7 linked regions of the Ovis aries genome follow. The protein of the gene in region 2 purifies or fractionates together with the protein of the main gene of each other region. This does not show direct contact. Links are inferred from orthologs where the notes say so. Each region holds a gene or a part of one and is shown on either strand. Other genes may lie near its edges. The genes, in order: DICER1, RAF1, AKAP8L, TIMM50, CDC25A, BAG2 and EMD.

Region 1 (4,211 bases), on a different chromosome or scaffold from region 2:
TGTTTACCTGTTTGGAGCATGGGGACGGGTGCAGGAGAGTCTTTTTACTCTATATCTTTTTATGCTTTCTAATGAATGAACCATATATCTAATACTCTTTTTTAAAGTTAAAAAAAAAAAAACCTGATGAAAATCAGACAAAGCTGGTGAAGGAGAAGCTCAGCTAGTCTTGACAGACTGAGAGGACAATAGGAGAGAATGAAAATTTTACCTGCCCACAAATTTCCACTATTAGTGAACCCCAGTGCCTATCCCCACCCAGAGATGTCATTCTTCTTACAAAGGATTATCTCCAAAAAGGCTTTACTTAGCAACCTGGGGAGGCCTTCTGCCTATAGTGCAATATAAATGCTTGACACATATAAGAAAAGCTATTTCTATGGAGACCTGACAGAGTGTTCTGACTACCTCCTAATTTTGCCCATGAACATTCTATGTTTTTCTGAAACATTTTGCCAACTGACGGTATATATAACGATCAAAATGTGAGCACTGTAGTACCAGCCCCGAAGCCAGATCCCCAGGGTTCAAATCTCAGTTGTTCACTTGTTAGCAGCTTACTTGCTAGAGGTTATGAATTTCTTTCCTCTGTTATTATAAAATGGAGGGCAAGCAACAGCCTCTGCTTTACAGGATCCACATGAAAATCAAAGTTTACAAGAGCCCGTCCAATACCAACATAATGCTAGCCACAAAAGACATTAAATACTTCCTAGAATTTAAAAAAAAAAACAATATTTATCCCAATATGTCAAAAACATTATCACTTTAACATGTAATGAATATAACAAATAATAGTGTGGTTTCACATTCTTCTTTGGTAAGGAACACATACATCTGATTTTCAGGTCTCCTATCTCTGTTAAGACTGTGCTGTGCTTAGTCGCTCAGCCGTGTTTGACTCTTTGTGACCCCATGGACTGTATGTAACCTGCCAGGCCGCTCTGTCTACGGGGATTCTCTAGGCAAGAATACTAGCGGGGTTGCCATGCCCTCCTCCAGGGAAATCTTCCCAATTCAGAGATCGAACCCTGGTCTCCCAAATTGCAGGCAGATTCCTTACCGTCTGAGCCACCAGGGAGACCCCAACACTAGCCGGATTTTAAATGTTCGACGGCCCCCTTTGCATCAGCGCAGCCCTAGACAAGTCTAGCACGATGTAGGTGCTATGCGCTCTTAGCCGAAGCTTGGTTGCGGTTATGCTACCTCTTTTGGGGTAAACCAGTCTATCAGGTGAGCAGTCTGGAAGACATGCATATGTTTGGAATAAACTAATGCGATTTTCTTTTAGCCAGTCACTTACTGGCCCTCCATATTAATTCACAGCTACAAGATAAGGTGCAAGGTTCCGATCTATGCAAATAGACTATTCACAGAAGTGGGGCCGCTGCCCTAATCTCATTTTCTGATCATCCTAGTTCCGGGTTGGGGGAAGGATGCGGGGTTAATTGTCTCCCCTAATGCGGAGGGCCCTGGACCACTAACCCTGGGGAAATGCAGGCGAGTGGGACGGTCCTTTAAAAAGGGGATGGGGCGGTGAAAAAGAGCGCCGAGCTCTCGGGAGAACAATTAACGGCCACGGCAAAGGGCCACGTTTAGGGGGCGGTCGGTGCCAGAAGGGGCAACCATGAAGGCGGACGAATTCCGAGCGCCAGCAGAATTCTCGCCGAGCCAAGCGAGCGTCCGCAGGCCGGGCGCGCGGACACCCGGCGGGCGGCGAAGGTTCCCGGCCCCCGCGCGGGCCCGCGGAACGTCCGCGTCCAGCCCCGGCTCCTCTGGGCCGCAAACACCGCCAGGGGCCTCTGCCGCTCGCGTCCACTGTCTCCCGGCTCCTGAATGGCTGGGGGGCCGGGATTAACCTTTCACCGCCGCGCGCTGTCCAATCACAGGCTCTCTCTCATGCCGGCGCGGCGCGAGGGGGAGCGCGGGGGCGCGGGCGCCGGGGAGATTCTCCAAGCCGCCGTGCGCCGTTGCCGCGGGGCCGTGCGCGGGCCTCGAGCGAGCCGGGCGCTGCGCAGTCTCCGCAGGCGCCGGCGGGAGGGGTCGAGGCGGAGGCGCGGCGCGGCGCGGGCTGCTCCAGGCCCCAGGTTGGATGGAGTGACCTGACAGCGGGGACGAGGCGACGGCGAGCGGGAGGACATGGCGGCGGCGGCGGCGGCGCCGGGCGGCACCGGGAGGCCTGGGCTGTGACGCGCGCGCCGGAGCGGGGGTCCGATGGTTCTCGAAGGCCCGCGGCGCCCCGTGCTGCAGGTGAGGCGGGCTTCCCCGGCCGCGGAGCCGCTTTTGTGTCCCGGGAGTGGGGGGCGGAGCGAGGGAGCGGCTCCGCGCGCCGCCGAGGCCCGCGTGGGCTCCGGACTCAGGTGGGGAGACCGGCGCGGGGCAGATGGCGCGGCCTCCTCGCTCGGTCCTGGGCGGGGCGGGCACCCGCGCCGCCGGGCTCGGCGCAGCCCCGACTCGCTGGCGCGCGTCCTGACTCGGCGCTCCCGGGGACTTTGTGCGCGGGGTCGCCTGGGCACCCGGTGGGCACGCGGGCGCCTCCGCACCCGGAGTGGAGCGCGCGGGGGAGTCCTCGCCGCTCGCCCACCCACCCCCGGCCCGCGGATAGCTGGGCTTTGACAGGTCCGGCTGCGCGCACCAGGGTGGCGCGGGGTCCGCCGCCGCCGCCGCGTCTCGGGAGCATCCCCGGGAGGCTGCGCGGTGGCTGGCGCTGGCCTCCTGGGTGGACACCTTCGAGGGGCCCGGGAGGGAAGGCAGGCCGGGCCCTCCTGCGCTGGCAGGAAAGCACGAGCCTTCGGGGGCGCGCCCGGGCGAGGATTGTTCGTGTTTATTGGCAGGTGACCAGCTCTCTGGGTCCCCAGGGGGCGGGTGGCCGAGGCCATCTTTTCGCCCCTCCTCTCCGATTTTTTTTTTTTTTTTTTGGTGCCAGCACGCCCCTGGATCCCTGCAAAGCGAGGCTTTCGCAAAGGGTTTTTCAATCCTTGGCAAATCAGTGTAATGTTTTAAGTTAGCACTGCAGATTTTTGGCGGGGGGGGGGGGGGGGGGGGGGGGGTAGACTTTCCAGAAAAGCTGAGTTCCTCCAGGGCTTTGCCCGCAGTGTAGAGCTAGCAGGCCACTTAATGTGGCTTTTTAATGGCCTGAAGATGTGCAAAGACAGATGAGCGGGGAGTATTTACTGTAGAGTGTTCAGTCCATGCTTTTGTGGAGAAAGTCATGCTTACAGGGACACCTCATTTACAGATGATCAGTCTTAAGTATTGAGGTGACTATCATGATTTACAAATGTTCAGGTGGTGAAAGAGTTTTAATTTGAAGTCTTTGCTTGTTTGGTGCTTTGGATTTTGCTGCTGCTGCTGCTTAGTCGCCTCAGTCGTGTCCAACTCTTGTGCTGTGGATTGTAGCCTGTCAGGCTTCTCTCTCTGTCCGTGGGATTCTCCAGGCAAGAATACTGGAGCGGGTTGCCATGCCCTCCTCCAGGGCGTCTTCCCAACCCAGGGATCGAACCCGGATCTCCTGCATTGCAGGCAGAGTCTTTATCTCTGAGCCACCAGGGAAGCCCCTTGAATTTTTCTGGATCTTCACAATCCTGATGTTCAGTTCGTTTCCTGTTGCTTGGTTTTCAAGTGCAGCAGACTCAGTGAATGGAAAAGGGCACAGATTAGGAATTAAGTAACTCGGGGGGGGGGGAATATATATATATATATATAATGTGTGTTAGTAAAGGTCAACTACATTGAAAATATATTGGTATTAACATGAAATTTTCTAAATACCCATTTTAGCCAAGGACTCCAGTAATTTATTAGAGGATGGATGATGGTACAAGGTTCTGAATAAGGGTGCTAGTGAATAGTAATTTTAGTATTAATATCTTTGGGAACTAGGTGGGCATAATCAGTTTATTTTGCAAAACTTTGTTAGTAGCTCTCTGTGGCAAATCATATTACATGTAATATATGCTGTATATACTTACATATAGTTTTTCAAATTTTCATTGTGGGACATAGTTTGTAATACTGTAGATTAGAAACACTACGAAGAGTGCTTTTAACATGATTGCTGTGAACATTGATTCAGAGCATCAAAATGCTGTTTTAAGAAACGATGTACACATTTAATTTGGGGAGAAAAGACCTTCATTTCCTACAATTATTGTAATAAGGGTTTGCTTTACCTTTTATGCTGTCATCTCATCATTAAAGGTTAAGTTCTG
Region 2 (3,500 bases):
GGTGTGGAGTATCTGTGCTGGGAACTAGGCAACAAGGAGAAACAAAAGTCCACAGTTGACACTCAGGCCTCTGGAATGGAAAAATCTTTCAACTACTTACTTCATTAACATACTCGGGGCAAACCCTACTTACACTATGACCTTCGACAAAAGTATTCCTTTCGTCAATCTAAATATGCACCACTTACAATTTTTCTTCTGTTGAGGTGCCTCTGCATGCAAATTTTTAAAAAGGAAATAACATATGTGCTCAGAATTCATGTAAAAAGAAATGATACTTCAATAAATCACGTCTACAGAATACTCCAAAATTTTAGACCATCTCAACACTACCCTGTACAATTAAGCTAGCTGAACTTTCCCAGGTTCATTTCGAGACTAAATGAGAAAACCTGAAGGAAGATTTCTAACCATCTTAGACCTGACCAGTGTGCCTGCACACAAGTAGCGCTTTACTCATGGGCATCCTCTCCCCATAAACAGCTCACAAAATCAATTACAATGACTTTGATTTTCAGATCTGCATACCTCTGACATTTATCACTGGCTTCTTTTACCCAATGCCACTCTCCCACGAGCGAACTGGAAACATGCATTCAGCGTAACACTGTCATTTGCTCAAAAGATTACTCTGGGTTTTGTTCAGACAAGGTTAGCACCATGCATGAATTCAAGGGATGAAAGAGTTTTTCAAGAGAAATTATTTCATGGCCTTAAAAAACTGCCTTTCCAGGCAATTCAACATGAATGGCCTCAGAGGCCTGGCTTCTTCTATCTAAATATTCAGAAGCAAGTACAGTTTTTCAGAAAGACATGCGTTTCAAATTATCAAGAAAAATAAGGTCATACACTAATACATCCAAGTATCATTTCAATACAAATTCCTTATTCTAAGATATGCTGCCTTGAATAATTTCTATGTTAGTTTTACAAAGGCCATTAAATATTATATGACTACATATAAATTAAAGTCAGATATTTGGGGCAAAGATGTAGAATTATTTTAGGTTCCAAATTCATGTGTAGAACTGAGTGAAGCATGTGAACTCAACAAAACTCTGATTTTAAAGTTGGAAAACAGAGTAAAGACAGATTATGTGCAAACTTACAGGCACATTAAAATGGATTTTTTATATTAAAAATCTAATTAGATTTTTTCAAGATAGCAGTTTATTAAACATCATGGTTTTAGCAATGCAAGGCCATAATAAGTATTTCAAAGTCGAGGGTTTTACTTTTATTGAATCACTGTATATCATTTTGGGACCCTTCCCCTGAGGCTCACTGCATACTGACAAAGGCAAATCTCAAAGTCTTTGAAATGTAGTGAATGGAGAGAGGAGATGTGGTACGTGTAGACAGGAGAATCTCAGTCAGCCAGAAAAGGGAAAAAACAGGATCATCTGTAGAGATGTGGATGATCTTGAGTCTGTCATACAGAGTTAAGTCAGAAAGAGAAAAACAAATGTCAACTACTGATGCATATATGTGGAATGTGGAATCACAGCTCCAAAGAATCTATCTGCAGGGCAGCCCTAGAGACACAGACGTAGAGAAAGATTTGCAGACACAGTGAGGGAAGGGGAGGCTGTGATGAACTGGGAGATTCGGACTGACATGTATCCACTACCGTGTGTAAAACAGATAGCTACAGGGCCGCTGCTATACCGCGCGGGGAGCTCAGCTCAGTGAAATGACAGCCTAGAGGGCTGGGGTGGGAGAGGGAGGGGACACCTGCATACATACAGCTGCTTTACTTCACTGCAGAGGAGAAAGTAACACAACACTGTAAAGCAATTACATTTCAATAAAAAATACAAAAACAAAACACACAAATGAGACATAACGGACATGCCAGAATACCAGAATTAACTGTATTCACTTTCCAGAATTTAAGAACTAAAGGACAACAAAAGGAAAGTTCTACATTTTGCTTTAACACCAATGCTGAGTTCCACAGAAGCTGCACAGTTTACATGGAAAGAGAAGGGACCTCAAGGGAACTCCTGTCCTCTGTGTTCACACTTTCTTTTTTTTAATTTATTTATTTTTTTAATTTTAAAATCTTTATGTGTTCACACTTTCAATTCCACCTGCCCCAGTACAACTTCCCATAAAAGCAGTAGGTGCAAAGTACCCAGGAGGTATCCGGGAAACAGACTCTCGCATCCGACGCATCGTCAAAGAAGGCAGCGCTGGGACCCCGCCATCACCAACAGTGGAATTTGGGAACAATCTAAATGAAATCAGAGAAAGGCTGGTTTACAGACTTGTGATAGTGATTTTACAGTCAGCCTGCTTGGCCTTCCAAACTCAGCTTCTCCTAGTCACACTTTCCTGGACCATTTTAGGCTACCCAGACTAAGTTGCTGGCCAGCTATTTCTTGTTGCTCACGTCCACTGGGCCACAGGATCCCAGAGGGGAAGAGGATTCAGACACAGCAGCTCGGCAGCCCCTGATCAACAATGAGGCCTCAGAGTTGAAGCCAGGTAGGAGACTCAGGAGCCCCTCAGAGCAGCGGTCACTTTCTCTCTCTGGGTTTCAGTCTTTTCCTTTCTACTGTGGGCAGTTTGGAGGGGACGTGGATGGGCATGTCGGTTATGATGAGAGCCAACCACATTCATCGGAGAAGGAAATGGCACCCCACTCCAGTGCTCTTGCCTGGAAACTCCTGTGGATGGAGGAGCCTCGTAGGCTGCAGTCCGTGGGGTAGCTAAGGGTCAGACACGACTGAGCGACTTCACTTTCACTTTTCACTTTCATGCATTGGAGAAGGAAATGGCAGACCACTCCAGTGTTCTTGCCTGGAGAATCCCAGGGACGGGGGAGCCTGGTGGGCTGCTGTCTATGGGGTCACACAGAGTCGGACATGACTGAACCGACTTAGCAGCAGCAGCAGAGTAAGTTGTTTAAGTAGCTCAAGTCACGTCCAACTCTTTGCAACCCTACAGACTGTGGCCCGCCAGGCTCCTCTATCCATGGAATTCTCCAGGCAATACTGGAGTGCGTAGCCATTCCCTTCTCCAGGGATCAAACCCAGGTCTCCTGCATCGCAGATGGATTCTTTACCACTGAGCCACCTGGGGAGTCCACCAATGGACTACCAACCTAAGTGACTGGCCTAGTGACTACAGAACACGAACAATCTTGACCTGCCAATGAACACAGAGTCTCTAGCGTGCAGTTCTAGGAAATACTGGCCTAATGTCCAACTACATCAAAATACTGTGTTGTTTTTTTTTTAATCTATATGTAGTAGGGCACTTTGTAACCTAAATCATATAGCTTTTCTGGAAACATTCTGTCTCAGAAATGCACAAATGGTAAGACTGAAGTATGAGAGGACAGATCGCCATTAGCACCAAAAGTCATACATAGAAAAAAGTGATATTCACATCAGTTGGGCATCTTCCCTCCATGAGACGAGCACTCAGTGACTAGAAAGCTCGTGCATTCTCTCTCACAAGGCTCACACGAATGCTGCAGCCAGGAGAATGCC
Region 3 (3,500 bases), on a different chromosome or scaffold from region 2:
TACTAGTCCCCCACTTAAAAACTCTGTTGCCGATAGGAGCAAGACCAGGCCCCTCAGCCCAGCCCTTGTGAACCTATGTCCAATCCCTCCTCCAACAACACTTGTACCGTATGCTTCTCCCTGTTTGGTGTCTGAACCTAATTTGGCCATTGGCCCTTATGCATACGCAGGTCCCCATTTCCCAGAGCCTACTTCTTCTTAAGGTCTGGCTCTGATGCCACCACCTGCCACACAGAGTCCCCGATTCCCATCCTTCTGTAGCGTGGCTGATTGCTCTGGGCTGGAGATGTGTCTATATTCCTGCCCCTGGCAGGCAGGGGTCATGACCCCAGCACCTCCCCAGAGGCCTAAGCCAGTTAGCCCACAGGATGATGGGAGGGCACTGGTGGCCACTCACCCTGCGGTTCCGGTTGTGATCCATGGTCTTGAGGTGCTTCTGAATGATCCCAAACTGCATGGGAATGAAGAGGTCACAGGCTGCACAGTGGGCTGCCTCTACCTTCTTCACAAAATGTTCCATGGCAATTTCTGTAGAGGGGAGAAGGAGGGAGTCGCCACTGGTCCCAGACACCTAAGAAAGACCCAGGAGTTGGGGGAAAATGCCAGACCAGCTCCTCACCTCACCCTGCCATTTCCACGTGGGCCTGAGGCTGTTCTCACTGACCCTCCCTGGGGGAACAGAGGGGTGTTGTGACCCTACTCTGAGAACCAGAGGAGGGAAGGCTGTGGTCCGGCCTGGTAGGACTGGGATGGAACCTCCTCACCTTGTGTCAGATCTTGGTCTCTGTAGATCTGCTGGATCAGACCATCAAGGTCCTCCACGGTTTTTCTGAGCTCCTCTGTCTTTTTCGTCTTGTTGGCGACATATTCCTGCCGGATACACCAGGGAGATATCAAGCTTTGTGTGGGCCACTCTATGTCTGCAGGGTAACAACAGCTGTACCAACCACTCCAAGGCTCACCTGCAGAAAGTCAGCTGTCTGCTTGGGGAGCTTGGTGCCTACGTACTTAAAGTGTTCCTTGTGAAACTTGCTGTCAAGGTGGCTGGCCATCTCATCCTCATAAAAGGTTCGGTATTTGCAGAGAGAACACACAAACTGGATCCTGCCACAGGAGGGAAACGCAGAGCTGAGACCAAGAGGGTTCTGGGAAAGAGTGCTGTTGCCTCACCCAACCCAGCTGTGAGCCCTGAAACAGGCCTTGCTCATGGGCCTCTGAGGTGTGGTCCCAGCAGGGGGACAGGCTAGGACCAGTGGGGTTGGGAGTGCAAAGGGACAGAACATCTGCAGGCTGCAGTTACTGCAACGCAGGGGACAGGGCAGGAGCTCTTCCTTCCCACAGGCAGGAGGTTGAAGCCTGAGGCAGCAGCAGCTGCAACAGGCAAGGAGTCGCTGGAAGGTTGCTGGAGGGCCTCTCTACCGAGGCTGGGCAGGAGCTTGTGCACTTGGCCCAGCTGGGGAGCAAAAGGAAGGATGCCCTGGCGTGAGCCAGGTGACCCTGAGTGCAGAGTGAAGTACGCAGTCCTGAGGCAGGGCCCGGAAAGGTGCTGCATCTTCCTTGTGGGGGCTGAGGGGCTCAAAGACCCAGCCCATCCTCTGCTCAGAATGCTTGGGGGTAGTGTCGGGAGGGATGGGAGGCAAGCAGGCCTGGGCACCTGCTGCCTCATCTTCCTCTTCTGAGAAGAGACCAGTCTGAGCTGGAAGGAGGGCGCCCGCCTGGCCTGCCAGAGGGCAGCCTGGAGTCACCTGAGCGAGGTGCTCTGTCTGGGCCGCGTGTCCACAGCAGAAGCCCGGGGTCTGGGGCCTGGGCCGGAGCAGGCCGCCGTGGCAAGGGGCGGAAGAGGCCAGCCGCCACCGAGGCCTCGGGGCAGGTCCCTACCTCTGCCGGACGTCCTTATCTGGGCCACGGGGTCAGCTTTGTCTGGAGAGCCCAGGGGCCGGGCGCCGGCGAGGCTGAGGAAGGTCCAGCAAGAGCAAGAGTCTGAGGCGGAGGAGGAGGAGGCAAGCGCCAGTGCGGGAGCCCTGAGGGCAGACAGACCCGACCAAGGGGCGTGAAGGGCTCAGCCGCAGACAGGCCCGGCCTGACAGGGCCGGCGGGCCGGGCAGAGGGCAGGCCCGAGGCTGCCACAGCCCACAGGTGCTGCCATCTCTCCTGAGCACGGTGACGGCCTCTTGGCAGCTAGCTGGGGTGGCACAGGCGCCTTGGACCTTGAGTCTCTGCTGAGCTGGCCCCCTCCCACAGGGGCATCAGGCCCCCAGTGCACCTTGGGGCTCATGTGCCAAGTGACCTAGCGCCGGAGCTTCTGGGCAACGGTGCTGAGCAGTGTCAGATCTCAGGCCAAAGTCGCTAGCGGTCGCCAGGCGGCCGCACAGGGGCAGGGGATGAATCAGGCCTTGGGAGCTGGGCCTGGCGGAAAGCAGGGTCCATGCACGGCCGAGCAGGTGGCGGCTCCCAAGGGAGGCCAGAGGGCGGTGAGGCAGCAGAGCTATGGCCCTGCTCTCCTGGAGGCAGCCCCAGAGCGAGGCAGAGGCAAAGGGGTGGAGGGAAGCTGGTTACCTTTCCACCATGCGGTCTCGCTGCCGCTTTTTCTGCTTGTCCAGACTCTTTTTGCCTGCCTGCAACTTGCGCTTGGCCTGGCCACTCTCATCCTGGGCGCTCAGGACCCCTGTGGGAACAGAAAGATACGGCTATCAGTCTGTGGCCTCTGGCTGGATATCCACTCTCTACTCCAGGGGGTCCATTCTGAAAGCAGCTGTCTGAGCAAGGCCTCTGGCTGCAAGCAGGACCGGGTGCCCTGGGATGTGTGGGGAGTTGACCCCACCACGTTCCAGGACATCCACACTCTGCAGAGTGAGCCACAGGGAAGCTGGAAGGTAAAGAGAGGCTGTCTCAGTGGAGATACTGGCAAAAGTTCAGAGGACCCAGGTGGCAGAATGCAGGAAGGCCTCAGGTAGGGCCTGAGTGCAGCCCCCAAGGGTAAAAGGCCCCAAAGCTCACATGGCCCTGCCCACCCACACTGGGTACCGCGGCAACAGTAGGCTGAGGCTGGATTTAGGTTAGGTACCTGCTGGCGCTCATCACTCGAATAGGGAGACACGGACTCCCAACAGGGGCTGTAGAGGTGCTAAGGGAAAGGACACGCAAACCAGAGCCGTAAAAACTGCACCAAGGGTCCCACCTTGGACACCAGCCACTGAGGACTCGGAACTGCATGTTACTAAGGGCCTGAAGGCAGGGGTTGCGCCTGGGGTTCCCCCACACTTTTGCTTGCCCCACCCACCTGAAGGCAAAACCAGTGTACTGTCTGAGATCAGGGCCAGAGTAGGAACCAGGAAGAGGAAGAGAGATTACTCCCTACCAGCACATAGTCAGCCACACAGGGACAATCCAAGTTGGGCCTATTTCTGCCAAAACCCTGCCCTCGGCTGGCCCCCTCCCGCCACAAGCATCTGGAAAAGCCCCCAGTGCCCGGGCCACTCAGAAGACTCACCCTTGTCTGC
Region 4 (4,060 bases), on a different chromosome or scaffold from region 2:
AACAGTATGACTCTACATCTGCCCAGTTAACACATACTTAGCTACCTGCCAAGTTTAAAGTGAAAGTGAAGTCGTTCAGTCGTGTCCGACTCTTCGTGACCCCATGGACTATACCCTACCAGGCTCCTCTGTCCATGGAATTTTCCAGGCTAGAGTACTGGAGTGGGTTGCCATTTCCTTCTCCAGGGGATCTTCCCAACGCAGGGACTGAATCCGGGTCTCCCGCACTGAAGGCAGATGCTTTACCCTCTGAGCCAACACCAACGTAATAACATGCCGGCTTGCAAACATCTCCAGCACAAACAAGTGGCTTTCTGGACCTACCAGTTTTATATTTCTCTTGGGAAGGACCAGGTGTGATAGAATTGGCAGCTTCCCTCTACTATCCAATTTGTCAGAAACTCCCTAAAAGCTGGCTAATCAGAAGGCGGGGAGGGAGGAAGGAGGCATTGTTTTGGAAATGAGCTGGATGGGCTATGGCCTGGTGGGAAAGAGAGGCTGTCATAAACAAGGGGGTGAGGGGCTGCAGATGCTCAGATCTAAGGCACAGGAAGCCATGTGTCTGGCAGAGAAAGCCCAGTTCTCCCCCAGGCAGTCCCACCTACCCAGGAGTCCCCTCCCCCACTGCCCCTGACCATCTGCTCCTGGGCTGAGGGGCCAGGGAAGGGGACTGGAGTTCTGTATGCCCCTCTTCCCCCAAGCCATACAGCTGCTGACTCCCCCACCTCCCAGTGGAAGTGGGCGGGGGGAACCAAATGGGGAGGGCACAGTAGAGAGGGTCAGGGGACCCCAGAATCTACGATTGTATACTCACCGTTGTCGAATTCATCGGGAATCTGGGAGGTAGAGAGAAAAAAGAAGGGTTTGGGACGGCAGAGGCAAAACCCAGGCAAGGAATCTCCGGGGCCCTGGGAGGAGCAGGCAAAGGTCCCTGGGAGGGAGGGTTCACTCCAGACCAGAAAGGAGCCTGAACAGACCAGATGGGAGGAGACCCACAGGATGCGACCCCTGGTAAGGCCTCTGTGTCTCTCTCCCACTCACCTTGGCACCATTTTCATCCACAGCATTGTTTCCTGCAAGGGAGATAGTGATGAATGAGAAACTTGAGGCCTGGTCTCCTGGGACTTATGGGAGGAAGAGGGCAGAGGGCCTAGCCTCCTGGGTCTGAGGGAAGGGGGCTAGAGGTATGGTCTCCTGAGAAAGAGGAGGGGGCTGGTAGCCAGAATATCTGGGTCTCTGAGACAAGGAGGGCTGGGGCAGGGTCTCCTGGGTCTCTGAGGAATAAACAGACTAGAGGGAGGACTGGAATTTTGGGTGCTGAGGGAAAACGTAGCTTAGGGGGCTGGTCCAGACCTCTTCTTCCCCCCTTTAAACTGACTCCCTATAGCTTAGTACAGGAACCAACTAGAAGGAGTAGAACCTTGAGCAGAGGGGTAGTAGGGGGATTTCTCTCATTTCCAAGTTCCAGTTGGCTGCCCTGAGGGAGGAGCCAGGGAAAGAAGATGGGTGAAGTCCTTAGGGGAAAGAGGGGGCAGTCCCCCCAGCAGAACAGAGGGCCAAGAGAACATAACTGGGGGACAGGGATATGTTCCTCACCGAAGATATAGATGACGCTCACGGTCCCACCAGCCCCAAGCAGCCCAGCGAGCCAGAGTGCCACTTTTTTGGCATAGCTGGGACCCTCAGAGCTTCTCTGCTGCTGTGGTCCCTGCGTCTGGGCCTTAGTGCCTGCTCGGCTCCCAATCTCTGCAACCTGCAATTGAGAGGGGGTAGCTTGGCCAAGAAAGAAGAGAAACAAGGTCGGGGTGTTTCCAGCACCCTGGTCTAAGAAGAATCAAGGTTGAGAGCCAGGAAGAGGACACCCATATGGCCTCCAGGTGTTGTGTGCCTAAAGGGGCAGGTAGGGGACTGGGTCTCTCAGAAAAGTCAAGAACTAAACTGGCGCTATGATCCCAGGGGTTCAAGAGATGACAAGCCCGGGGCCCAGGATCCTACAGAACCGGAGCGCGGGTGGAGAAGCAGGGAAGGGAGATACGATCAGGGACCCTGACTGAACACTGACTAAGATTTCTGGAGCAAGCCACTGAAGGCCACGCAAGAGGACAGGACGGGGAGTTAAGTCCTCCGGCCGTCTGGAGCTCACAGTGGCGTATGGAGGGGGACGGAAGGGAGGAGCAATAGCCTGCTAGGACTTGGGGAGCAGGGCACAGAAGTAATGGACCCGGAGGTCAGAAGGGCACGGTCTCTGTCAAGATGGAGGCAGGTCGAATCAGAAGACCTAGCAACACCACCAGCACCACGGCGGGGAAAATACCGCGAGGCCAGGCTGGGACTCCAGTGTCCCGGGCCCCTCCCCCTCGAGTATTACCTGAACCGTCACCGAGACAGGAGAGCAGGTGACCCCTCCTTCCCCGGCGCCCACGTGGGGTCGAGAAGCTGGGGTCCAGAAGAGGTGGGATCCAGAGGAGGTAAGGTTCAGAGGACACACTTGAGTCCCCAAGCATCTATCCCGGGGAAGCAAGGGCTGCCAACCCCGGGAAGCGGGGAAGAGACTCAAAACGCGCGTGGCGTTCCATTCAGCACCTTGAGGTGCTGCGTTCCAGAAGCTCCGGGCGGCCCCGGCCCGCCCGGAACCACAGGAAGGAGCCCCAGCACCCGGGGACCAACCCCATCCGGCTCACCTGGTCCGGGGCCCGAGGGGGCGGCGTCGCGAGCCTCGCACACAGCCCCCGCGCGCCTTGCCGGAGCCCGCTCCGCAACCGCAGGAACAGCGCCGCCGAGGCCGCCATCTTGCGCTGACGCCACGCGGCCCCGCCTCCTCACTCTCTCCCCCCGCCCCGGGCCGGGGCCGCGGCCAATGGTAATACAGGGGCGGGGTGGGTGGACGGGAGCCCGAGAGAGACAAAAGGCTGCGGGCTGGGAGTCTCCCGCCGTCACGTCCTGCTCAGGCCGGAGGGCGTTCCAGCGCCCGCGCCACAGGACGGGGCGGGACACCCACTGCCCGGGGTCAAGCGGAGGCCATAAGGAAGGGACCTAATTGTTGCTGGATTTGTCCTAAAAACTAAAAGCCAGCTTCACACACCTTCCTCACGAGCGACCGAGAGGTCTCATCCGCCTTCCCTCCCCTTCTCCCAGCCCTTTCTTGCTTGAGTTTCCTAAACTGGGTCTGGAAAGTCAGCCAGTTTCATGGAGGCTCAGCCAAACGAACCGCTGCGGGCTCAGGGTATTGAGAGGAAATCCGAGAATTAGAGGCTACGGGAGCCATGATTAATCTTCCACATGTAAATCACCACACGGCATTTAGGGATAAATACTAAGATAATAAGGACTTCCCAGGTGGCTCAGTGATAAAGAATCCGCCTGACAAGCAGGAGACGCAGGTTCCATTCCTGGGTGGGGAAGATCCCCTGGAGAAGGAAATGACAACCCACTCCAGTATTCTTGCCTGGAATATCCCATGGTCAGAGGAACCTGGACTACAGTCCACGGGGTCGTCGGTCACAAGAGTCAGACAGGACTGAGCGACTAAACAACAGCAACAACTAAGGTAGTAAACATACGAAGTCAGGTGAAAGACACAGAATTTTAGGGTTGTGTTACTTCTGGAGGGAAATGGACTGGTCCTTCTTATTTGGTACACAGATAGCTCCTAAATTGGGTGGTGGGGACATGGGTGCTCCTGACATATCCTTTAAAACATTTGAACTATTTTAATACAAGTTATATTACATTTGTAAGAAGACGTGAACATCAAATGAGAAAAGTGAAGGTGGTTAAGGTACTAAGCCCCATTCTCTACACTGCTCCCCAGCCCCACCCAAGCCCTTAGATGAGCTACAGCGATTCTGAGGTTACTGCTAGATGGACTCGAGGGAAAGGACCATCAGATGCTGGAGCCTGCACCATAGGTCCTATTTAGATTTGTGGAGGGATTGTTGTTCCACCACTCAGTCATGTCCCAAGTGTTTGCGACTCCATGAACTGCAGCATGCCAGGCTTGCCTGTCCTTCACCATCTCTCGGAGGTTGCTCAAACTCATGTCCATTGTGTCAATGATGGC
Region 5 (3,483 bases), about 4.7 Mb from region 2:
CAGGCTCCACTCTATTTTGTAATAGACCTTCGCTCCAGCTGTTATCCACTCTGGCAGCAGCCCCCAGCATCGCACATCCAAGTTTCTCTGGTTGCGTGTGGGCCCGTGACTCACCATGTGCCTGACTTCCTTCTGCAGTGTCCTCTCTGGCTCCTTCAGAACACAACTGAAACGCCTATCTCCTTTACACTGGTCCCTCCTCTGGCCTGTTGCTCAATCCTATGAATTAATACATCTTGTCAGGGAATGTCAAGAAGTCCAGGCAGGCTTTTCCTATCCCCATTTCATCTTGTCAATCAATCTGAATCACAAGCTTGCTTTTGGACTCAGGGGAGTAACTGAAGGTCATCTGGCCAAGCCTGATGTCAGGCCACATGACAGCTCTTTGGCATCTTGAGAAAATGTCACTGCCTCTAACCAGTGCTTTTAGCCAGGTGTGGTCCCAGGTCTTTAGAGACTCACAGTTCCCTTTAAATCCATCATGAGGCAGGCAGAGAGCATGGGTTCAAGATTGTTTTTATTTTCAGAGCCTGCAACAGTTGGTTAGCAATGCTAGCTGAGCTGGTATGATCTGAAGGCCATCCCACCTCCCTTTTCAGGCATTCAACCAACAGAATCCCTACAAACAAGATTGGAGACCAATTCAGATGGGTCTCAGTGTGTGTGTGGGGGTAGAGGCCTTCTCCTGTTCCCCTCCTCCCCATATACTTTTTCTAACAAGATTGTTTTATAGTCAAAAGCAACTCAAACCCATAACATAGCAACCAGTCATCTCCAGTATCACTGATTTCCTCCCCACCCCCAGAACAGGAAGCTGAGGCAAGAGGGGAGACTGACTCTTGAATATAAGAAAAACTTGGCAACACCCCAGTGGAGCAGAGATGGTGAGGAAGCCAGCGCCTAAGGGTAGGGATGAACAGGCACCAAACAGCCGTCTGGAATCAATCCACTCAGCCCCAGCTCCTTGGGAGGTGTTCCTTTGAGATCCCCACTTCTGTGGGGTGAGATGAGGGGGAACTGGTGATAACCCATCTCTCAATGTCCCTCAAATTAAAACATGATAAACTCAAAGTTTTACCTTCAAAACCCACCACGCTGCTGCCTCCCGAGAAACACACGCTGTAGTCATCTCTGCCAGCACCCACTCCTTTCTAATGCCAGGGGCTTCCAGCCCCTCCCCATACTTGGGGGGCCCAGGCAACATGAATTCCATACTCCTTGACTCATAAAAGGGCTATTTTTTTTTTTCTTAAAAAAAACAGAAGCTGTCAAAGAGTATCGGAATGATGAAGGAAGACACTCAAAAGTATACTCCCTTCCCTTATCCCACAGAGCCCCCCGATCCCTGCCCCCCAACACTGGGATACCTATTCTATACGTTCCAACAATGACTTGGGAGTGGCCCCACGGAAGCTGCCTCTAGTGCTTTCCTGATCGTGACTCTTGCCCAGTGACATCACAGGGAGCTGGGGTGAGGAAAAGCAGGGTCACTCCCCCATAGTAGGTCTCAGGGGCCTTTCGAGGTAGGTCTGGGAGATTTAGCTTATGTCCTGAAGCCAAGTCTGAGTCCGGCGCCTGCTCCCACCAGTGTCTCAGTCCTTGGCTGTAAATAGCAGCGGCCCCAGCACTGCAGCGCCTCCCGGGGGAGACAGACAGAGCCCCTTGTTCTCTGTCCCACAACTCATGTCCCTCTTCTTCCCCCTCCTTTATTCTTTTTTTCTTTAAAAATGAAAGGCAGAGGTAGTCCCCGGGATGATAAAATCCTACCTAGGATGGCAGTATTCTAATTGAAAGAAGCAATTAAATAAAAGTCTCCAGGAGTTGATTTTTTAAAAAAAAAAGAAAGAAAAAAAAGTGATTGGTGAAGTTGAATAAATTAATGATGTGGGCTAGCCCACAAAGACCTGTGCTTCCCGGGCCGTCTTTGGTGTCTGGACAGCAGCGTCTGGCAGTCTTCTCTCCGTCTCTCCCCTCAGGAGACAAGGCCAGTGCCCAGCGAGGCCGCAAGGGGCCCATCCAACCATGGGGGAGGAGGCAGAACGCCTTGACTTGCTGCTCGGAACCCTGCTGCGGCACGTGACCACCTTGGCTGAGCGCCCTGCTGAAGAAGGACGTCTTCCAGGGACTGAGAGGCGGCGGGAGGCTCCGGGCTCCAACCTCGGGAGGGTGCGAGGTAGGTTTAAGACGTGGAGGCCTCCGCCCTTCTCTCCAAGTGTCGTGCTGCTGACCCCTCTGCTCAAGTTTCTCTGCAGCAAAGAGGGGAGTGGGGAGGGCTGGGAGGCTGCTGCCGCCTGGCCGCGAGACCCTTAGAGCTTCTTCAGGCGGCTGTACATTTCCCTCTTGCTCTTCTCCCCGGCCCAGGTCCGGCTCTTGGTGCGGAATTTCTTCAGGTCTTCTTTAAAGTCCTCGTGGTGCATGGGCCGGTAGCTGGGGGGCTCGCAGTGAGACTGGAGGGAAGACAGGCCAAGATCTGGGCACACTGGCCTCCCATGCACACTCCTGCTCCCTCCCTGCCGGGGGCCACAAGGCTCTGCTGGGGTGGGGTGGGGGGCGGTTCTAGGCTCCTTCTTTGCTCAGGGCAAACCCCCAGACCCTGGGTAGGAAACAGCCATGACCACCAACTAGGGGGTGGTGAGGGGTGGCCTGTGCCCTCCAGAGAGTCCATCTCACCTGGCATTTCAGGAAGAACTCCTTGTATCCGCCCTTCAGGACATACAGCTCTGGGTAGTGGAGTTTGGGGTACTCATTACCGAGCCGATCCCTCTCTCTCACATATCGGCACCTGTAAAGGGCAAGGAGAGCCAGAGTCTGATTCGCTCTGCACGGGGAAAGCAGTACCTCTTACACATCTCCCCAGCTTGGCCTGCACTCCTGGAGACAGTGCCAGATGTGATTTCCGCCGCTGCCGCGACCCTCAGGGACCCTGCGCACAGCCAGCTCCACGGCCTTGTCTTGGAAGGCGGACGGTCTCCTCCCTACTTTCCAAGTTAAACAGCGTCTTGGTTCCCACCCAGTGTCTTCTCTGCCACCACCACCACCGATTATTTTAAATCTGAAGTGATGCTTTATTGTAGCTATACTTCCACTTATTTTGGCATAAAATTTATCTCTGTAGTAAACTATAATAGGGCCTTAGTCATAAAAGCTTGTGTATGGGGGGCAGACGGCGTAGTTCTTTTCACCTCTCGTGTGGCAATAACCTGGAAGTAACATAACCCCATTCTTTGCGAACATGGATTTGAAAAGTGTTTGAAGGCGTCATGTTAGGTTTTGCCGAGAGGACATCACACTTTCCTGGCATTTGCATAAGGAGTCACCACACTGTCCCTGAAGGATGTCACCCGAGAGCAGCAGCCCCACCAGCAGGACTAGGGGCAGTGGGGGAACCCAAAGAGCCAGAGTTTAACTCAACAGAAAGGCAGGCTGAACGATGGGCCAAGCCCAGCAGTGGCCAGGACTCACCCAGGAGTGGGGGTGATGAAG
Region 6 (4,262 bases), on a different chromosome or scaffold from region 2:
CTACACTTTGAAATATGACATAGTAACTCAGAAAACTCAGGCGTAAAGCATTAAGCTCTGCAGCCACTCCTGAGCTCTTTTAACTTCTCAAGCCTCAATTTCCCGCCTGGACAATGAGGGTGACATAATTTCCACAAAGACACAGGACCTGTAGTCATGCTGGTTAGCTAAGATACCTGTTGGAGGGTATCATTTATGAATTATATGATCACTGCTAAACTAGTAACAATCGTGAGCAAAGTGCTCAGAGCCACTGACAAATGGAAAAGTCAGAGGCCATTTGCACGGTCACGAAAACCCGTAGAGAGAGACATCACCTTTTTAGGAGGAAGCAAAAAAGGAGATCTAGTTTCGTGCTAACGCATTAGAAACAACTGGAGTTTCTTCAGCGATTTGTGAGATGCGGTCAAACATTTGAAAAACTTTAAACACCATGGACACCAGTTCACATGGCAGGTCATGAAGCACTGAGCATAATTCTATTTTCGATTTCATGCGGAGAAAGTTTTTGCTGAGACTAGCACAACAGAGGGACAGTAAACACAGACCTCCTGGTACAGTCTGTGATTTTCAGTGTGCCTGCAACACTGCTTTATTAGCCACTCGTAACATGAAAGTAAATGACAGTTAACACATGAATGTCTTGTTTTCTTTTTAAACTTGATCTTCTGGGCCTGATTCTAGTTTCTAACAGCTCAGTGCTCTCTTCCATGACCCATCTGCCTTCATAAACTTCTCTATTTTTTACTTAACCTTCCAAAAGACTTAATTTTGTCAGCATCACTTTTTTTTAAAAGAAAGAAACAAAGCTCATCAGTCTAAAACTAGAAAAGTCCTTAAAATGAACAACTGAACACACATTTATCAGTCTCAGCTCAAGGGTTAATTCAGCAAGTGATTAACCACTTGTACACGGTAATCAGAATTCATTTCACATTAAGGAAGCCCTAGAACGTAATATTTCAAACAAGAAACTTCCTTTTAAAGATGAGCACCTGCCCTATGTGAGGCATCAATTCAAGTCTTAGAACAATAACTCAGCTTCAAGAAAGGAACTGTGTCCTGCCCGAGCTGAGAAGAAAACATCCTTTCTTTCCAACTAGGGAAGAGCCCCCCTGAAATGGCTGAGAACATGCCCTCAAAGTTCTTGAGACCAGAGACGCTCAGTCACTTGTTAACGCTGCTACATAAAATCGTCCACAGGAACTGCTCTGCCTGTTCCACCTGCTTCAGCTGGAGAAGGACCATTGTCACTCTCCGTGAAATCGTGGTGGTGAGCGTCTCATTTTCTGAGAAGACATTGTTTCTTTCTGTAATAATAAAAAGAACTATACAATAAATGATGAAAGTCAACATAAATATTAATAAATGATAATAAGTGCCTCATTTGGTTATTAATGTACTTTACTGGCAAACAGACCCCTTGTCCTGTTTTGAGATAAAGACACATATGCAGCCCTTCTTAAAATTGTGTCTTACATGTATTCCTTTGCTCACTCAGAGTCTGGTAACTATGGGAAAAATTACCTGTGGTTTTAGGGAGTTTTGGACGCCTTGGTAAGATCTGCCTGTAATTACACCTGCACACAATTTACCGGACCTTCAATGACAATAAGAAGTTATGGGAAGTACACAGAAGTCTTCATTCACTGTTAGAGAAAAGATTATTTCCCAAATTTCTTACACATTATTTAGGAATCCTATACAAGCCGGTGACTACATTTGTCACTAAGCAGGGTCCCCACACCGGTTTCTATAGAAACTGACAGCAGCACAGCCTGGAAAGAATTCAGGGAAAGAGCCGGGGTGAGGCACTCTGTGCTCTGGGAAAACTGGCAAAACAGGCTCTCCGGTTTTCAGGAACTCAGATTCCTAAATCTTCTCAAATTCAGAAAAGCACTAAAAGCTTTAAGGGAGACAGCAGCTCCTCCTGACCGGTGGTAACCTCTGCGCGCCTGACCCCGGGCCCTGCTCCAAAGTCACATCCTCGCTGACCTCAGCCCGACCCTCGCCGCCAGGGCTTCCCTCTGCGCGCTGACCGCCGTGGACACCCCGACCGGGAGGGGACACGCCGACCGCAGGGACACCCCGACCGGGAGGGAGCGCTGCGGCTCGGGCCCTGGCGGCCGGGAAGGTGGGACGGCGCCCCGGTGAGGCCGAGCGCGGCTTGGGGAGACACCTGTCCGCTGCTCTCGGGCCTGAGGCCAGACGGATTTTTCCGTTTTGCAAAGGGCTCGGTCGCTCAGCACAGAAACCACTAACCGGCCCCGGTCCTAAAACCGCTCGCGGCGGGGAGTGGGCCGGAAACACCTGGCCCCCCGCGGAAGGTTCTGGAAGCTCCGCGGCGGCACGGCCGTCGTCTCGAGTCACGTCCCCCCTACCTCCTCTGTTCGGGGTCGCGCGGTCCCGGCGCTCGGGGCCGCCGAAGGGTGGGGGGCCGCCGCGCCGACCCAGCGCCGCGCTGCCCTCCGCTCCGCCCTCGCCCCCCGGTCCTCGCCCGCAGCTCCGTCCCCGCGCGGCCCCCGCCCCGCGCACCTGAGCTCCAGCTGGTCCAGGCTCTCGAGCAGGCGGCTGGAGCGATCGGCCATGGACGAGGAGCGACAGAAGCGGCCCTCGTTGGCCTTGGCGCTGATCCTCGCCTGAGCCATCTGCGCCGGGCGGGCGGCCCGAGGTCACCGCCGTCCCCACGCGCCAACCGTCTACTCGGATGCGCTGCCCGCAAACCCGAAGTCGGGGGCCAGGGCACCCAGATAAGGGCGCGAGGGCTTGGCGGCCGGACTCCGACCGCGCGAGCTGCCTCGGGGGCGGCGCGGCGGGGCGGCTCCGCGTGGCGCCAGGCCCGGCCCCGCCCCGAGCACGCCCCGGGGCGAGGCCCGCGCCAACCACGCCCTCGCCCCGCCCCACGGAGGCCCCGCCCCCAAGCATAGCCGGGGCGGGGCTCGCGTGAGCCACGCCCTCACCCAGGCTGGCCCGCGGCGCCCCGCCCCCGATCACGCCCCGGGGCGGGCTCGCACCAGCCCCGCCCTCTCCCCGCTCCGGGGCCATCCGCCGCGAGGAAGGGGTCCTTTGCGTAGCCGTGGTTCCCGGGCACCTTCCCGAGGTGAGAACTGGAGTCTGGACGCCAACAGAGCAGAAGACAAAAAGCCGCCCTGTCCAGCTGCGTGTAGGGGTCAAGGTGAACCTCATCGTTTTCACACCCACTCGCATGAAAGCATTTGTAATGACTTCTCTGTTTAAGTTATTGGTTGGAATTCGAGTGAAATGATTGTTATTTAAGGCCGTTTCTAACCCCATTTGTATAAACCTCCTGTTATGAGAAGACCATGGAGGCCGCTCGGCCACCGTGCAGGTCAGGGAGTAGTAGAGGGGTGGCGGGGCCAGAGCACACTAGGCGTTCTGCCCAGCAGTACACGGAGGGGATGCACAGGGCACCGGGAAGGGGATAATAACAGTTCAAGGCTGGAGCCCAACCTTTAATCTGAGATCAAAGTCGAGGTACTTGAACAGAGATGAGGCCCCTAAGGCTAGATCCCAGTTCCTCTGAACTCTTAAATACTAATTCACAACTGCTGTAGGGGGTCATCTGGCCTCATTAGACGTTTTATTGTATCATGACAAACGTGGAATCCTAGACGTTTTGTGAATGTGCTAGACTCTCTCACACCTCAGACTCAGTGGACTCCAACTCCAGAGAATACCCAGGCCCGTCTTCACTCCCCACTGGGCCAGCATCCCAGCCTTGCCCTCCCATCTGGTCTGGTGCTGTTTGCACCACTGTCTGTGCTCAGCTCAGCAGCTGCAGTGATCCAGAATAAGGCACAGCAAATGACTCCTCAGAAACCTTCAGCGGCTCACTTGTGAAATGAGTAAAAGCCAAGGCCTTCAGAAGAGGCCTCAGAGGACTCTCGTCGCCTGCTGCCTGCACTAGCCTTGCTGTGCATGTCTGGATAAGCTCACTCCCTACCTTCAGGCCTTTGCTCAAGTTCTCTAAGGACCCCGACCACTCTAGTACGAAGAGCAAGCCCCGCCCCCGCCTCACCCCCACCGCTCCTCAGCTCTTTCGGGCGGCTGTTTTCCTTCCTCATCTCAGCAACCCCCCCCAAGTGTGCCCCACTGCGGAGGTGAGGGCTTCCTTTTGCTCACTGATGTATTTCAAGTGCTTAGAATAGTCGCTGACAAATGTTAAGTACTCAATAAATACTTTGTGAGTGAAAGAATAAATGGTTTAAAAGAAATTTAAAAGAAAAAAAATTGATGGAAAA
Region 7 (4,180 bases), on a different chromosome or scaffold from region 2:
CCTCATATTTTGGGAGATGGAGAAAGCCTCATTTCTAAAACCTGGCCAACAGCAACCTTGAGGAGGGGCTTCGTATGTGGTTAAACCAGGGCCCTATCTTCTCTCCACCCCATGAAGGAACTTTTGCTGAGACCGAGGCTGTGACCCTCACCAACTGGGCCAGTCTGCCAGCCTTCATCTCAGTTCCGGGAGAGGCACTTAAGTTTCCCCTCATTCCATTGGCTGGCTTTGTTAGAATGTCACTGTCATCTTCTTCCTAATTTTCATGGGACAGCTCTTCCTGACCAAGGCTCTCACCAACTCCCTGTGACAGGCCCTGGCTGCCTTCCATGGTTTGCCCCCCTCAGTCCCCTGGCCCCCCTGTCTGGGAGGCTCCCTCTGCACTCCCACGACCCTGAAGCCCACTGAGACCCAGGTGCTCAGAGTGCATTATCGGAAGCCTGGGGCAGGTCCCTCTGGCAGCCTCCTGGGTCACGCTGGGCTCAGGGGCCATCCCAGCCACGGTGGGGAAGCCCCTCGCGCCTCTGGTGCACTGCCGGTGGGTGAGGCAGACACCCGCCATCTCGGCATCACAGGGCGCCCCATGCCAGTGCCCATTGGCATGCCCGGGCCCCTTCCAAGGCTGCTGGCTCCTGGAGGGCCGGTGGCCTCCTGGCCCAGTGCCCCATTTCCTCTGGGGTGCAAGGGGAGGGAGGGAGGCGGTGGGAACCGGCGGGCGCAGGCCAGGATCCTGCAGAGCGGGAAGGCGTGCTGGGGCAGGGGGTCTGGGGCTCTGGGGGGCGGTTTATGGTCAGGTGGCTACAGGCTTCCTTGGTGTGGCGCGCGCGCGCACTGCGCGTGCAGCAGCGCCTAGTCTGGACCCGTGCTCTCCAAGGGCTTGCCCCTTCGGATCAGGCCCCTTCTCGCAGCCGCCGGCGACGCGCCCGCCTGGGGCGCGGCCAGGGACCCGCAATTGCTGGAGCAGAGGGGCAGTTGAGACCGAGCGGACTCCACGTGACTCAGGGAGGGCGAGCCCCGCCCAGCGCGCAGCCCCGCCCAGCTCCCGCATCCTGCCCAGTTTCTGCCGGTTGCATGGCCACAGGCCCCGCCCCTCCACCCTTCTGACCCAAATAGCCGAGCGGGTGACGTCGCGGCTCGCGGGCCCCGCCCCGCTCCCAAGCCGGGGCGGGTCTAAGCTAGTTCCCGTCGCGCCCAGGCCCCGCCCCCTCGCTGGGGTCCAGCCCTAAATGCGCCAGCGTGTGACGTCTCTGGGCTCGGGAGCCCCGCCCCTCCCCGCCCATTCGCGAGGCTCCACCAATCTGCGCTGGCAGCTCTCTGCGAGGCCCGGCCCCGCTCCGCACAGCGCGCGCTGCCCGCGGAGACCGAGACTGTGACGCGGGCGTGACGCGCGCGTAGCCGCTCCCGAGGCACTCCTGTTTCCCCTGCCGCGCTCCGAGGCCATCGTCTCTCGGCCGGTGTTGCAAGGCCCAGGCCTCCCCCAGGCCTCCGCCGCCCGCTGCCCGCCATGGACGACTACGCAGTCCTCTCGGACTCCGAGCTGGCCGCCGTGCTGCGCCAGTACAACATCCCACACGGGCCCGTCGTCGGTACGCGGTGGACGGAGGGCGGGCCCGCTCCCCGCGCTTAGCCCCGCGGCCCCCTCTCGGCCCGCTCCCTGACCGCCCTGTGCCCCGCGTCTGATCAGGTTCCACTCGCAAGCTCTACGAAAAGAAAATCTTCGAGTATGAGACCCAGAGGCGGAGGCTCTCGCCCCCGAGCTCGTCCGCATCCTCTTTCTCCTATCGGTTCTCGGGTGAGGCTCCCGTCCCAGGGCCCCGCCTGGCCGCCCTTGGGGACACGGTTTGGGGGACGCTGAGGAAGGGGTCGCGGGGGTGTGGCCAGGGCACTGGCTGGAAGGGGCGCGGGGGAAACGGGAGGGGACCCCTGTGGGCCAATGGTCCTAGCCCCTCCCCCATTCAGACTTAGATTCGGCGTCCGTGGACTCGGATATGTATGATCTGCCCAAGAAAGAGGACGCCTTACTTTACCAGAGCAAGGGTAAGGCAGGGGTGGGGTGGGCACTCTGACACCTTCCTTCCAGTGTCAGCCAGAACCTGAGACCTCAACCCCATGCGTCCTGCAGTAGCCCTGCAGCACCCCCCCCCCCAATGGGATTCAGATTAGGGCCATCGGGCCAGGTGGGGACACCGTTGCCCCTTCTGCTACCGCTGCCCCCCCCTTCCTAAGGCTATAATGATGACTACTATGAGGAGAGTTACTTGACCACCAGGACTTACGGGGAGCCTGAGTCTATGGGCACATCCAAGGGCTTCCGCCAGCCCTCAGCTTCACTCTCAGATGCTGACCCCTTTCACCGCCAGGTGAGCTGAGTTGTCGGGCACCCTGTACTTGGGTACAACCTGAGGGGGTCCTCATGGGGTTTGGATGAGTCAAGGGAACCACTGGGCACAAATGGTGGCTCAGAAACCTCCAGGGAGAGGTGGGGCCTGCAGACACCTGCCTGGTCAAGACCTTTGGGGTGGGGGAAGGGGCTGTCAGAACTGTTTTGACTAGTGTGCCCAGGACGTGCCCTGGCTCTGGTCTGGGATCTAGGTTTGAGCTCTTTTTGAGAATTCTGGGGCAGAAAGTAGGATGCAGGCAGCCGGGACAAGTGGCACGGCCCTGCAGACATAAGGCTGAGGACCAAGAAGGGGGTCTGGAGGGTGGCAGGGCCCAGGCCTTTAATCAGTGTTCAGAACAGGCTGGGAAGGGCAGTTTGGACTGAGGGTATGACCTGTCATACCTACACCGACCCTGTCAATAGGTATTCTCATTCTGATTCACTTCTGTAGGTCCGTGATGACAATCTTTTCTCTTTGGAAGAGGAAGGCAAGGATCGGTGAGTATTAAGGCGAGCCAGGGGCTGGGGCTGATTCAGGACTCAAGCCCTCCTGGTCTACCTACTGCACTCTTTGCCTCAGGGAACGCCTCCTGTATGGCCGGGACAGTGCCTACCAGAACATTGCACACTACCGCCCTATTTCCAACATCTCCAGAAGCTCCCTGGGCCTGTCCTATTATCCCACATCCTCCTCCACCTCGAGTGTGTCCTCATCTTCATCTTCGGCCCCTTCGTGGCTCACCCGCAGAGCCATCCGGCCTGAAAAGCAGGCCCCTGGGGCTGCCGGCCTGAGCCAGGATCGCCAGGTCCCGCTCTGGGGCCAGGTGCTGCTGTTCCTGGTCTTTGCTGCCTTCCTGCTCTTTGTTTACTACTCCATGCAGGCCGAGGATGGCAACCCTTTCTGGGCAGAGCCCTAAGGGTCTGACCTCGTACCTTGGAGGCCGGCTCCTCTTGGAAGCCCTGGCTGACTGCCTTATCAGTGTTTGTTGGGGGAGGGGGGTTGGGGCTTTTCTGTGTGTTCTAGCTTGGGGTTACCAGGACATGGGCAATGTTTGCTGACCCCTGCCCTGTCCTGCCAGGGAGGCAGCAGGCCTGGGCCCTCTGCGGCATGGTGGACCTGGGTGGGCCTGCCTCTGGATCCTCCTGGCCCTGCTTGCCTGTCACCCTTCGGGCCTAGGAGGGCAAGACCCTTCTCCTGGAGAGGAGAACATGGTTTTGGTCATCGCATGCCTCCTATTTGTCGTCACCTCATGGGGGGATTAACCAAAGGCCACCCTGAGTTTGTTTTCGTGGACACAATAAAAGACCATTTATTTTTAATGTGTGGGTTCTTTTCTTTAACATGGGGAGGGGTTGGGCTGCCCCCCTGCTAAAGGCTTCCAGGCCTTGGGTCTCCAGAATTGCCATCCAACTTTGTCAGTTCATCCTTTCGTCCTTTGAGCCTGAGATAGGGATCATAGGCAACCCATAAACTCATTTATGTTTTGCTTTTGGTGCCCGCTCCCTGACATGTTACCAGAAGCTCTTGTAAGTGCTTATAAAAAATAGTCACACAGAGAGCCCACTGGGAAACGCAGGTGAGGCTGCTTGCACCGTGTCAGTTCTGGGTGTTTCAACTGGGACCAGCAGACACCAACTGTGGTGTCCAAGGGCAGAGTGATGGGAAGGAAATGAGGCATCTGCTTGATGGGCTGCTGGAAGGCTGGTTGTCTAATGACAGGGGAAGGCTCTCAGTCCTCTGGAATGTTTCATCTCCTTTTAGTAAACCAGTTCCTCACCTGGGTATTACCACAAGGTTTT

Evidence for each region.
Region 1: the proteins of RAF1 (region 2) and DICER1 purify together in Homo sapiens (affinity purification with mass spectrometry; 3 studies listed by BioGRID and IntAct, with this or other methods). This does not show direct contact. The link is inferred for Ovis aries from reciprocal best matches to the Homo sapiens genes RAF1 and DICER1.
Region 3: the proteins of RAF1 (region 2) and AKAP8L purify together in Homo sapiens (affinity purification with mass spectrometry; 3 studies listed by BioGRID and IntAct, with this or other methods). This does not show direct contact. The link is inferred for Ovis aries from reciprocal best matches to the Homo sapiens genes RAF1 and AKAP8L.
Region 4: the proteins of RAF1 (region 2) and TIMM50 purify together in Homo sapiens (affinity purification with mass spectrometry; 4 studies listed by BioGRID and IntAct, with this or other methods). This does not show direct contact. The link is inferred for Ovis aries from reciprocal best matches to the Homo sapiens genes RAF1 and TIMM50.
Region 5: the proteins of RAF1 (region 2) and CDC25A purify together in Homo sapiens (affinity purification with western blotting; 3 studies listed by BioGRID and IntAct, with this or other methods). This does not show direct contact. The link is inferred for Ovis aries from reciprocal best matches to the Homo sapiens genes RAF1 and CDC25A.
Region 6: the proteins of RAF1 (region 2) and BAG2 purify together in Homo sapiens (co-immunoprecipitation; 3 studies listed by BioGRID and IntAct, with this or other methods). This does not show direct contact. The link is inferred for Ovis aries from reciprocal best matches to the Homo sapiens genes RAF1 and BAG2.
Region 7: the proteins of RAF1 (region 2) and EMD purify together in Homo sapiens (affinity purification with mass spectrometry; 3 studies listed by BioGRID and IntAct, with this or other methods). This does not show direct contact. The link is inferred for Ovis aries from reciprocal best matches to the Homo sapiens genes RAF1 and EMD.

The regions. Positions count from the first base shown.
Region 1 is NC_056071.1:57,745,440-57,749,650, reverse strand, and holds the start of DICER1 (endoribonuclease Dicer), read left to right. Parts: upstream 1-1,411; 5' UTR 1,412-1,500; intron 1,501-1,932; exon of another isoform or gene 1,933-2,250; intron 2,251-4,211. UniProt on the Homo sapiens protein: Double-stranded RNA (dsRNA) endoribonuclease playing a central role in short dsRNA-mediated post-transcriptional gene silencing.
Region 2 is NC_056072.1:56,466,534-56,470,033, reverse strand, and holds part of RAF1 (RAF proto-oncogene serine/threonine-protein kinase), read right to left. Parts: intron 2,237-3,500; coding exon 2,138-2,236; intron 25-2,137; coding exon 1-24. UniProt on the Homo sapiens protein: Serine/threonine-protein kinase that acts as a regulatory link between the membrane-associated Ras GTPases and the MAPK/ERK cascade, and this critical regulatory link functions as a switch determining cell fate decisions including proliferation, differentiation, apoptosis, survival and oncogenic transformation.
Region 3 is NC_056058.1:7,577,393-7,580,892, reverse strand, and holds part of AKAP8L (A-kinase anchor protein 8-like), read right to left. Parts: coding exon 3,491-3,500; intron 2,666-3,490; coding exon 2,557-2,665; intron 1,105-2,556; coding exon 963-1,104; intron 871-962; coding exon 765-870; intron 670-764; coding exon of another isoform or gene 620-669; intron 572-619; exon of another isoform or gene 529-571; coding exon 398-528; exon of another isoform or gene 1-397. UniProt on the Homo sapiens protein: Could play a role in constitutive transport element (CTE)-mediated gene expression by association with DHX9. Increases CTE-dependent nuclear unspliced mRNA export.
Region 4 is NC_056067.1:48,516,520-48,520,579, reverse strand, and holds the start of TIMM50 (mitochondrial import inner membrane translocase subunit TIM50), read right to left. Parts: upstream 2,801-4,060; 5' UTR 2,790-2,800; coding exon 2,682-2,789; intron 1,754-2,681; coding exon 1,597-1,753; intron 1,074-1,596; coding exon 1,042-1,073; intron 837-1,041; coding exon 815-836; intron 1-814. UniProt on the Homo sapiens protein: Essential component of the TIM23 complex, a complex that mediates the translocation of transit peptide-containing proteins across the mitochondrial inner membrane. Has some phosphatase activity in vitro; however such activity may not be relevant in vivo.
Region 5 is NC_056072.1:51,718,774-51,722,256, reverse strand, and holds the end of CDC25A (M-phase inducer phosphatase 1), read right to left. Parts: intron 2,783-3,483; coding exon 2,671-2,782; intron 2,448-2,670; coding exon 2,307-2,447; 3' UTR 501-2,306; downstream 1-500. UniProt on the Homo sapiens protein: Tyrosine protein phosphatase which functions as a dosage-dependent inducer of mitotic progression. Directly dephosphorylates CDK1 and stimulates its kinase activity. Also dephosphorylates CDK2 in complex with cyclin-E, in vitro.
Region 6 is NC_056073.1:3,197,015-3,201,276, forward strand, and holds the start of BAG2 (BAG family molecular chaperone regulator 2), read right to left. Parts: upstream 2,801-4,262; 5' UTR 2,649-2,800; coding exon 2,536-2,648; intron 2,534-2,535; exon of another isoform or gene 1,528-2,533; intron 1,311-1,527; exon of another isoform or gene 1-1,310. UniProt on the Homo sapiens protein: Co-chaperone for HSP70 and HSC70 chaperone proteins. Acts as a nucleotide-exchange factor (NEF) promoting the release of ADP from the HSP70 and HSC70 proteins thereby triggering client/substrate protein release.
Region 7 is NC_056080.1:80,070,509-80,074,688, reverse strand, and holds EMD (emerin), read left to right. Parts: upstream 1-1,380; 5' UTR 1,381-1,504; coding exon 1,505-1,586; intron 1,587-1,684; coding exon 1,685-1,792; intron 1,793-1,959; coding exon 1,960-2,037; intron 2,038-2,226; coding exon 2,227-2,360; intron 2,361-2,831; coding exon 2,832-2,878; intron 2,879-2,960; coding exon 2,961-3,297; 3' UTR 3,298-3,700; downstream 3,701-4,180. UniProt on the Homo sapiens protein: Stabilizes and promotes the formation of a nuclear actin cortical network. Stimulates actin polymerization in vitro by binding and stabilizing the pointed end of growing filaments. Inhibits beta-catenin activity by preventing its accumulation in the nucleus.